Linked DNA regions of Drosophila melanogaster. The gene in region 2 interacts genetically with the main gene of each other region. Each region holds a gene or a part of one and is shown on either strand. Other genes may lie near its edges.

Evidence for each region.
Region 1: of GstE8 (region 2) and Smox, changing one suppresses a phenotype caused by changing the other (phenotypic suppression), as found in Drosophila melanogaster (one study listed by BioGRID).

What each region holds. Positions count from the first base shown.
Region 1 is NC_004354.4:8,136,338-8,144,032, reverse strand, and holds Smox (smad on X), read left to right. Parts: upstream 1-1,753; 5' UTR 1,754-2,397; intron 2,398-3,115; 5' UTR 3,116-3,350; coding exon 3,351-4,811; 3' UTR 4,812-6,992; downstream 6,993-7,695. Other genes in the region: alpha-PheRS (Phenylalanyl-tRNA synthetase, alpha-subunit), read left to right, coding at 1-34; CG17982 (uncharacterized protein), read left to right, coding at 512-1,417; CG2120 (uncharacterized protein), read right to left, coding at 7,146-7,695.
Region 2 is NT_033778.4:18,405,873-18,409,680, forward strand, and holds GstE8 (glutathione S transferase E8), read left to right. Parts: upstream 1-1,961; 5' UTR 1,962-1,987; coding exon 1,988-2,656; 3' UTR 2,657-3,083; downstream 3,084-3,808. Other genes in the region: GstE6 (glutathione S transferase E6), read left to right, coding at 170-838; GstE7 (glutathione S transferase E7), read left to right, coding at 1,083-1,754; GstE9 (glutathione S transferase E9), read left to right, coding at 3,219-3,808.

The DNA.
Region 1 (7,695 bases), on a different chromosome or scaffold from region 2:
GGAGGGCCCCATCTGCCGGCTGGATCATGCTTAATACCTTAAAAAATCAATAGGACCTGCGATCAAATTGCATTTTTTTTCACACATGAATGTTCCAAAACATATTTATAAATAAAAGTTCCGCCACAGAAACTGGGTCTATATTGATAAGGGAAATATAACATTTGGCGAACCATTTTTGTATTTTCCCTCCAAACAGCTGTTGTTCAGGGTTGTCAAGTGCAGCCGATTTATGCTATCTGCATTTTAGGTTATTGTTTGAGGGAAGCATATCGGGTTTATAAAATTCGGAAAATTTTTAAAGAAACTGCTTAGAGTGAGAATCCTAAAATATGTGAGAATAATAAAAACATGTTTGACAATCAGTCAATCAGTTGAAACTATTTGACAACTTTGCCACAAAACAACGTCAAACGAGCGAAGAAAACAACAAAGGAGAGACGCAAAAAAGAAGAAAGAAAAAAAAAAATAAACAAATTCGTCATCGTCGCTGGAGTTTGGGCCTTGAAAAATGGCAAGCAATCCGAAGAAGTCCCTCCACCAGGCGATCCAGGCCGAGTTTGGTCTCCAGCCCACCAGCGATTTGTCCAAATTGAGCAGTATAAGTGGCACGAGCCCAGAAGCGATGCCAAAATTCACAATTCCGCAGCTCAAAATTCCACAGCTTAGAATTCCACAATTGCAGCTGCAGACGAATGCGGATGCCGCTGCCGAGCAGGAATACCGCCGAGAGGCGGAGGCACACAATCAAATGCTACTCAATGAGATCCAGTTGAGGCAACGGCAGCGATCGGAGGGCGAAAACAAGCCGCAATCAATGGGATTTGTGTTACCCCAACTGGTCGCGATGCCCAAGGAGCCCCTGAACATACCCCTGCTGACAAGGTTGGAGAGCGGCATGAAGAAGCTGGATATAGGCGATGGGACAAAGGTGAATACAGCCACGTCAGCACCCCCACTCATTGACCTCACGTCCACGATTATCGCCAGGCATAAAGGCGCACCGCCCAAGGAGCTGGCCAGCAAGGCGCGCCAGTTGACCAATTGTGAGCCTTTTGCCATACCCTTCATTGCCTGCGATCGCGGAAGAAGGAGCACGACCGGTGTAACTCTCTTGGCCAGCAAAAGATCCATCAACTACGACGAGGACGTGCTGGCCGATCGGTCACCAGCGAATAGCGACTACCGGGAGCAACCGGGACCCATTGGGCTCATGCTGGACGAAATGGTGGGCTATCCGGAGCCGAGAAAGCCCCGTCTAGTGTACGCCGTCACTCCGCTGGAACGGCAGCACCTGCGAATGTGCCAGTATAAGGATTACGGCATCCAGGTGAAGAGATTCCGCTTTGATACTCCCTCGCCGGATGAGCTCGTCAAGCAGGCGCTGCAGAAGTCCTGGCGCTTCTCCCGCACTTGACTCCAGTTCATCCTGGTAGTTGACAATTACCAATAAGTGAATAAAAACAAAAAATCCACTACGTTCAAAAATAAAAGCTGTCTGACTTGATTCTTGCAGGGAGTTGATATCACCCATCGATTTAGTAACTAATTAGTTGGCCATCCAATCCCATTCTTTTGTGGCGCAAATATATTTGCGAACAAGTATATTTATGATTTTAGTATTAAAATATGTAACAATATTTATGTTGTTTATATGAATTTATCAAAACGATCATTAGAATGTTTTCACGCCTTATTTTATTTTGAGCCGTGGCGTCGAAGCTTATTCGCGTTTCAGCCAACGGTCACACTACACAGTCGGTCACACTATTGTTGGGCAGCAAGTCTGGGCACACTGCAACTTTGCGAATAGCAAAATCGCGAAACGCAAAAAATTATATTACTCCCATAAAGCACAATTCGAACGTAAAGTGAACTACTAACGTATAGAAAATAAACACAAAGAGCATAACATAAGAACAAACAACAAGGAGGCGTTTAAATATTTATCAAAATAAGTTCTCTGTTCTTGTTGTGCCTCTGTGTGTTTGTGTCTGTGCGCTCGTTTAACTGTGTGTGTGCTCCTTGCGTGTCGGTGTGCGGTGCCTGTGCTTTGGTGTGCGTGTGCGTATAGCTGTCACTTTCTGGCGCGCACACAAGATATATACACACAGAAATTTGAAGAAGCGGTGCCCACCACACGGCCCCCTCCCCGTTCCAGACAACCATCAACGCCACCAGCACCACCACCACCACCCCCTCCTGTTGGCGCGGCTCGGCTCGGCTCGGCTGGATGTGTGCGCCCGGTTCCGGTGCCTTTTGGTTACCGTTCCCGTGCATCTGGACCTGGAAGCAGTGTGTGCGTGCGAGTGAGCGGGCACGATAGAAGTTGAAAGAGCAGGCGAAAGGAGCAAGAGCAGGACGACAGAGGAGCTCGAGTTGCCGGTACCGTTACAGGTAATATTTATATGTGCGAGACACTCGGCGCAAGTGTGTGTGTGTTAGGTGGGGGTTGAAGATACGGATACAGATACATGGATACATTCCAAAGCGGCTGTATGTGCACTTTTCGCTGTTTCCCCAATGCACATTTAATTACTTATTTATTTTTGCGTTTAACTCGATCGTACCCCTCTTGCCGGCGACGCTCATGTTTTTTGTTGTTGTTATTTTCGGTAATTTATTGCCCCGCCTTCGATAAGATGGAAAATTCCAAACTGCCCACAGATTAGGCGTGTGTACATACATACAGAAATATACACACATTCTGGTTCTGTTTCTGTTTTCTGTGGCTGCTGTAACTCAACGAAAGCAAAAAAAAAGCGTCTGCAAACGCAGACATTTGACCTTGTTGGAGACAATAACAACAAGAATAGCAATAACAACGGTAGTGAAAATAGCAAGAACAGCAACAACCCACGCAGACGATTGCATTTGCGATTGTCGTTTTGGAAATGGAAAATCTAAATTGAATCTTTCTTTAGAAATCTGAATGTGAATCTAAGGCAAAAGTTAATAGATTACCCATATACACACGCTCGGGCAATTATCACAATAACATCGTCATCAGGGTCGAGCTTTTATCAGATCCAGCCGCTCACGCACACACATGCAAGCCAATTATCAGGTTTTAATTGCCAAAGCACGCACAACTAAACCCATTCCACTATTCCAGATCAGAAGTGCACAAGGGAAGCAGCAGCAGCATTAGGACTGTTCCAGTTCCACTTCCCAGTCCCGTTCCAGTATTCCAGAGAAGGTGATCGAAATAAAACTAAAACTAAAACTCGACCAACGCCAGCAGTGAGAGCAGTATTCAAAAGGCAACGCAGAGTTGGAGGAGGAGGAGCTAGTGGACGCGGAGGACACCAGGAAAGCCCAGGAGAACTCCCCCCCCCTGAGACCCTGAGATGTTGCCATTCACCCCGCAGGTGGTCAAGCGTTTGTTAGCACTCAAAAAGGGCAACGAGGACAACAGCGTCGAGGGCAAGTGGTCAGAGAAGGCCGTCAAGAATCTGGTCAAGAAGATCAAGAAGAATTCGCAGCTGGAGGAGCTAGAGCGCGCGATCTCCACACAGAACTGCCAGACGCGGTGCGTGACGGTGCCGCGCAGCAAGCCAGCTCCCGCCGGCGAGCATCTGCGCAAGGGTCTGCCGCACGTCATCTATTGCCGCCTGTGGCGCTGGCCCGATCTCCAGAGTCAGAATGAACTAAAGCCCCTCGATCATTGCGAGTACGCCTTCCATTTGCGCAAGGAGGAGATCTGCATAAATCCGTACCACTACAAAAAAATTGAACTGTCCATCCTGGTGCCCAAATCGCTGCCCACGCCGCCCGACTCCATTGTGGACTATCCGCTGGACAACCATACGCACCAGATACCCAACAACACCGATTACAATGCGGCGATCATTCGCAGCGCCTCGTTGAGTCCGCCGCAGTACATGGAATTGGGCGGTGCCGGGCCCGTTTCCGTATCATCGTCTGCCAGTTCGACGCCAGCGACTGCCGCCGGTGGTGGTGGTGGTCCCTCCTCGTCGTCGTCGTCGTCATCGTCCGCCGCCTCCGCCTATCAACAGCAACAGCAGCAGCTGTCCTTTGGCCAAAACATGGACTCTCAATCGAGTGTGCTTAGTGTGGGCAGCAGCATTCCCAACACCGGCACCCCGCCGCCCGGCTATATGAGCGAGGATGGTGACCCCATCGATCCTAACGACAACATGAACATGTCGCGTCTAACGCCGCCCGCCGATGCAGCGCCGGTGATGTACCACGAGCCGGCCTTTTGGTGTTCCATCTCCTACTATGAGCTAAATACGCGTGTCGGCGAGACGTTCCATGCCTCGCAGCCCTCGATCACGGTGGATGGCTTTACCGATCCCTCCAATTCGGAGCGCTTTTGCCTCGGACTGCTGTCTAATGTGAATCGCAACGAGGTCGTGGAGCAGACACGTCGCCACATCGGCAAGGGCGTACGGCTTTACTATATTGGCGGTGAGGTATTCGCAGAATGTCTGAGCGATTCGTCCATTTTCGTACAGAGCCCAAATTGTAATCAGCGATATGGCTGGCATCCGGCCACCGTATGCAAGATACCGCCCGGTTGCAACCTAAAGATCTTCAACAACCAGGAGTTTGCCGCCCTGCTGTCGCAGTCCGTGTCGCAGGGATTCGAAGCGGTCTACCAATTGACACGCATGTGCACCATCCGCATGTCGTTCGTCAAGGGCTGGGGCGCCGAATATCGCCGCCAGACGGTGACCTCAACGCCCTGCTGGATCGAACTCCATCTGAACGGGCCGCTCCAGTGGCTGGATCGCGTGCTCACACAGATGGGTTCGCCACGGCTGCCGTGCAGCTCCATGTCATAAGCGCACGGCCGGTTCCGGTTTTCAATCTTCCCCCTCCCCCAATTTTCCGCACAGAAAGCGCCGGAGTTTAAGGCCCATTTTTGGGTTTGAAAGAAGATCCACAGAAATCCCAGTAAACGGCTCTGACAAGTAACACTGACGATGAATGGATACTATCCTCAAGAATTTGCGGTAGTCAATATCGTTTATTATCGATTTTTATTCACATTCGAGAGAAATTTCAATGGTTATTAAGATGAAATTGGTATGCAATCAATGTGCTTTTGTTCGGCTTTGTAGTGATGTAGTTTAAATACCCTCTGTCAGGGTATAAAATTTAATTATGTCACTAGCTCTAGAAAAAGTACATTTCACTTGCCGAAAGCTGTACAAATTGATGTTGAAAAAAACTACTTGAATCCTTGATGTAACAAGAACTTCCGCATCATCCAAAAATACTATATACAGCTCTATTCATGTTGAATATGACCCGAGATTCATCAGTGTTACTAGTCAGCAGCTCCGCGGGATATCAAAATGAGAATCGGAATTGGTTTCAAAGAGAAAACCAAGAAAAATTCTGAGAGCACATATGAAATAAGTTCAGGCAAATTATATACGAGTACATAAATGAGTAATTGAAAAACAAATGGTAGATGCAAACCAGATGCAGATATATCTATATACAAAGAGCACACACTTACATGTGGGATATATATCTTTACAAGCATATATGAGAGAGAACATGTATTTGGCGTTACAAGTTTAGGACTATATATTGTGTAGGTGGAAACGTGGAGAGAGTTACAGTTTTCGATAAGAAGCAACAATTTTTTTAAACATTTTACATACAAAAAAAAAAAAAAAAAAAGAAAACCAAAAGCACATGAGGAAATAACCGAAATGGAACCGACCAGGAACACAAAAAAACCAAAAGATACCCCGAATCTGTGTGCGTAAAGTTGGTAGCGCTAGAAGCGAGAGAGTCAAAATTCTTTGAGAAAGAAGCAAAACAATTAAATTGGTGATTTGGAACAAAAATGAATGAGCAAAACAGGAACTGGGATTTATCAAGCTTGAAGCTTACACACACAGACACACTACCATACATTGCAAATGTACATAAGACCAAAATAATGAAATTATTCACGCAGGACCTCCACTTGATCGAGTATGGGATTATAGATATATCCGTTTGAAGATGGTTGTTAAACGTTTCGATTTTCGCTTAGTACGTGTGTGTTAAAAAATTCGTAAACTCTTAAAGCGCAGTCAGCTCTTGTTAGTCGTAATATCCGTAAAATGCGATCATATATCCTATGTGTAAAGCACTTGCCCAACAAAATTTGAATGCCGCAAGCCAGGTCTGGCCCATCTAAGGTGCCATTTTGTTCAGAACTGCATTTATTGTGTACCAAATGAGAGATTCTTGATTCTTTTACAGCATCGTATTTGAAACGATAGCTTAACCAACCAATATGCAATATGGTTTGCCGTTGCTGGCCGGATTTTGCTTGGCAAGTGCACGTTTTTCTTGGGTCTAGATCTTAAGTCTATATATGTAACAAAATTCGCTAGCTTATCTTAACGTTTAAAGAGCCCAAATCCAGTTTAAGTTCAAGTTCAAATTGTTTTTACGTCAATATTTGCTGATTCTTTTAATTCTTTTGTTTTTTTTTGCCCATTGCTTCGCTGTTACGACCAAAAATAACTGTACCGCCTGGCCAGTGTTGGGCAGTGAATGGTGCGTGGCGGGCAGTGTTGCCTAGCGCACTTGTCCTCTGGTTCCGGCGAAACTTTAATTTAAGTTTTGTCTATTGTTTGCCCCCTTTGTTGCTTTTAAGTTTCTCACGTGTGCAGTTTAGTGCTAAGACACTTAGTCCTGATTGTCAATCAATCGAATAAACGACCGCGAACGAGATTGTGTTTTGTTAATTGGCTCTAATCACTGTTTTTAATCAAACAATTGTTTTCGTATTTCCGGCTAAGCCCGCAAATAATGTAATGTAATCCTTAAGTTATGCCTAAACGAAACAAAGCAATGCAGGCGAACATGCAACAGCAACAGTCAACAGTCCTCCGAGGACACAACCACAGAGAACCAGCAACCCCGTACCCGTAACTTTATAAAGTATAAATACAAATATATACATATATCTAATATGCAAGCATGCAGATAAAGACAAACAGAATCGTATATATAAATAAACACTTATATTGAATGGAAAGCGCAGACCAAGCCCCCTTCCGGGGGGCAGCTTAGGGTGGGGCGAGTCTCGGATTCGCCTGGAATTCGATTCGAATGGACAGGGAAATCGTACCGTATACTAACATAATCAAAGTGCTCTCGAGCTGTCAACGCTCGTGCACCTTGAGGTGTTGCTTATGATTGGATTTGCGCAGAAATCGTGCTGGACAGAGTGGACAGGCAAATGGTCGCTGCTGGGTGTGGGCAATCTGGTGGTGCTTCAGCTCCGAGGCACTAAAGAATCTCTTGCCGCACTCCGGCTGTGGGCATGGGAAGTCGCGCTGATTGTAGTGCCGCTTCAGGTGGATGCTAAGATAGCACTGATCCGTTAGGACCCGGCTGCAAACCGGGCAGGTGAAGCTGAGCGCAGATGTATCCCGTTGCTCTTGCTCCGCCAGCGGATGTTCGGGATCCGGATCCGTTTGTGCCGCATGCCTTAGCTTTGTGTGAATGCGCCGCGCGTGGATGGAATGAAAGGAGAGATGACAGTCGGTGGCCAAACATGGATATGGTTTCTCTCCCGTATGCAAGCGTCGATGGACAGTTAGGTAGTTGGCATACCGGAAACCCTTGCCGCAGATATCACATTTGTGTGGCCGCTCCGCCGTGTGGGTCACTGCATGGATGCGTAGCTTGTTCAGTTGCCGGAATCCCTTG
Region 2 (3,808 bases):
ACATTCATACATATTATTATTGACTTGTAAAGTGCAGTAAATATAGAGATTTTTTCAAGTACACGGAATCTCTCTTAAATTTTCTCTTTCATTGATCCCAAGTTTTGTATATTATATTAGTTATTCGGCAGTTATGGGTTAGTTTGAAAAGAGACCCCACAGCGACAAGATGGTGAAATTGACTTTATACGGTTTGGACCCCAGTCCCCCAGTTCGCGCTGTTAAGCTTACTTTGGCCGCTCTAAACCTAACCTACGAATATGTAAACGTTGACATTGTGGCTCGTGCCCAACTTTCACCGGAATATCTGGAGAAGAATCCACAGCATACGGTGCCCACCCTGGAGGATGACGGTCACTACATCTGGGATTCGCATGCCATTATTGCCTATTTGGTCTCGAAATATGCCGATTCCGATGCCCTATACCCGAAAGATCCTCTCAAGCGGGCTGTTGTGGATCAGCGGCTGCACTTTGAATCCGGAGTGGTCTTTGCCAATGGCATAAGGAGCATATCGAAGTCAGTGCTCTTCCAGGGACAGACGAAAGTACCCAAGGAGCGATACGATGCCATTATCGAGATCTACGATTTTGTGGAAACTTTTCTCAAGGGACAGGATTACATTGCTGGCAATCAACTGACCATTGCGGATTTCAGTCTCGTTTCATCGGTGGCCTCCCTTGAGGCCTTCGTGGCCTTGGATACGACTAAGTATCCCAGGATCGGTGCTTGGATCAAAAAGCTGGAACAGCTTCCATACTACGAGGAAGCCAATGGCAAGGGCGTCCGCCAGTTGGTGGCCATTTTCAAGAAGACCAATTTCACATTCGAAGCATGATATTATTTTACAGTTTATATAGTCACAATAAATAATTGCTTAGAAAACTCTAGAGCTTTTGAATTTTTGTGGTGAAATAATTGATTTGGACACAAATGAATAGAAGAGGCGAGAGCAAAAACCTAACTGACTTTCTTATCTACTGCTCTCGCTTCTCTTAATTACTCTCTTTCGAAATTCTATAAATATAGTGACTCTTCGCTGTTGACGTTTAGTAATAGACGAGACTCTACCCAGCGACAAGATGCCCAAATTGATACTGTACGGCTTGGAGGCAAGTCCACCAGTTCGTGCCGTCAAATTGACCTTGGCTGCCCTGGAGGTTCCCTACGAATTCGTGGAGGTAAACACTCGGGCCAAGGAAAACTTCTCTGAGGAGTTTCTGAAGAAGAATCCACAGCACACGGTGCCCACGTTGGAGGACGATGGACATTATATCTGGGACTCACATGCCATTATTGCCTATCTGGTGTCCAAATACGGCAAAACGGACAGTCTCTATCCGAAAGATCTCCTCCAGCGTGCTGTCGTGGATCAGCGATTGCATTTCGAGTCCGGAGTGATCTTCGCTAATGCACTGAGAAGCATTACCAAGCCACTTTTCGCCGGTAAGCAAACGATGATTCCCAAGGAGCGTTACGATGCGATTATTGAGGTCTATGACTTCCTGGAGAAATTCCTTGCTGGAAATGACTACGTCGCCGGCAATCAGCTTACGATTGCCGACTTTAGTATCATATCAACTGTGTCCTCGTTGGAGGTCTTCGTAAAGGTGGACACGACCAAATATCCTCGGATAGCTGCATGGTTCAAGAGACTCCAAAAGCTGCCCTACTACGAGGAGGCCAACGGCAATGGTGCTCGTACATTTGAGTCCTTCATCAGAGAGTATAATTTCACTTTCGCATCGAATTAAATCATCTATACATGCTGCTAATATATATTAAACACTTTATAAATAAAATAATCGTACAGTACAAAAAATAAACAAATAGAAAATATACATATAAAAATACTAAAGAGCACCTCGCCAGGTTTTTGTCAACTCTCTTGCGAAAATGTGTCTCTTTAACGTTCTCTTTCCAAATCAAATAAATATGGCGCCTCTTTGGCTTCTACTTTTAGTACTAGGCTCAACCTCTAGACGGCATGTCCAAGCTGATTTTGTACGGGACAGAGGCTAGTCCTCCAGTTCGGGCCGCCAAATTGACCTTGGCCGCCCTTGGCATTCCCTACGAATACGTCAAAATAAACACCCTGGCCAAGGAGACCCTTTCGCCCGAGTTCTTGCGGAAGAATCCCCAGCATACGGTGCCCACTTTAGAGGACGATGGCCATTTCATCTGGGACTCACACGCAATCAGCGCATATCTGGTGTCCAAGTATGGCCAGAGTGATACTCTTTATCCGAAAGATCTCCTCCAACGCGCTGTGGTGGACCAGCGATTGCACTTCGAGTCCGGCGTGGTCTTTGTCAACGGACTGAGAGGCATCACCAAGCCGCTCTTTGCGACCGGTCAGACGACGATTCCCAAGGAGCGTTACGATGCCGTCATAGAGATTTACGACTTTGTAGAGACTTTTCTCACCGGACACGATTTCATTGCCGGTGATCAGTTGACCATCGCGGATTTTAGCCTAATCACATCGATTACCGCACTGGCGGTATTCGTGGTCATCGATACAGTAAAATACGCCAATATAACTGCGTGGATCAAGAGGATTGAGGAACTACCCTATTACGAGGAGGCATGTGGCAAAGGTGCCCGGGATTTGGTGACCCTCCTCAAGAAATTCAATTTTACCTTCTCAACTTAATAATTTATTCTTAGTATATAATTGTAATAATAATGTTTAATAATTGTATAAAACATTATTAAGACTATTCTTCAAATATTGTTATCTTATGATTTTTATTTTATGATAATAGACAGTTTTAAAAATCGCCACCTGATTCGGTTGTAAGAAGACAAATTAAACAGGTCAAGTGGAAGAATTTTCCATCACATTTCAAACAAATATGATAAGACAAACCAAAACACTTAACACCTCATGGAGTGGCTCAGTCGAACTCGTCCATGGAGATTACCTAATCGATCCTACAAGCAAAGATAGCTTTGCTGAAAATGCTGATAATAGATAGGTGTTTTGTCTTCAAGAACACAGAATCCCTCTAAAAATGGCATATTCAAATAAATATTATGCCAATCAGAAGGAACGCTAATTATCTCGAACGACAAGAGTGAGTCAGCATGGAATACGCAAGTAGCGTATATAAATTGAAATAAAATGAGCTGTAAGTTCATCCGATCGATAATTGCGATAGTCGGAGCTGGTTTAGTTTCAAGTCAACAGCCAAGGCGAGCGGACACCTGAAGCGATGGGAAAATTAGTACTGTACGGCGTAGAGGCTAGTCCGCCGGTGCGAGCATGCAAACTGACCCTCGACGCCCTGGGCCTTCAGTATGAGTATAGGCTGGTGAACCTGCTGGCCGGTGAGCACAAGACGAAGGAGTTCAGCCTGAAGAATCCGCAGCACACGGTACCCGTGCTGGAGGACGATGGCAAGTTCATCTGGGAGAGTCACGCCATTTGCGCTTATCTGGTTAGACGCTATGCCAAGAGTGATGACCTGTATCCCAAGGATTACTTCAAACGCGCACTCGTTGATCAGCGCCTGCACTTTGAGTCGGGTGTGTTATTCCAGGGCTGCATCCGGAACATAGCCATTCCGTTGTTCTACAAGAACATAACTGAGGTGCCGCGTTCCCAGATTGATGCCATCTACGAGGCCTATGACTTTCTGGAAGCGTTCATCGGTAATCAGGCTTACCTCTGCGGACCGGTCATAACCATCGCCGACTACAGTGTAGTTTCCTCGGTCTCCAGCCTAGTGGGATTGGCCGCTATCGATGCCAAGCGCTATCCCAAGTTAAACGGCTGGCTAGACAGAATGGCCGCACAGCCCAA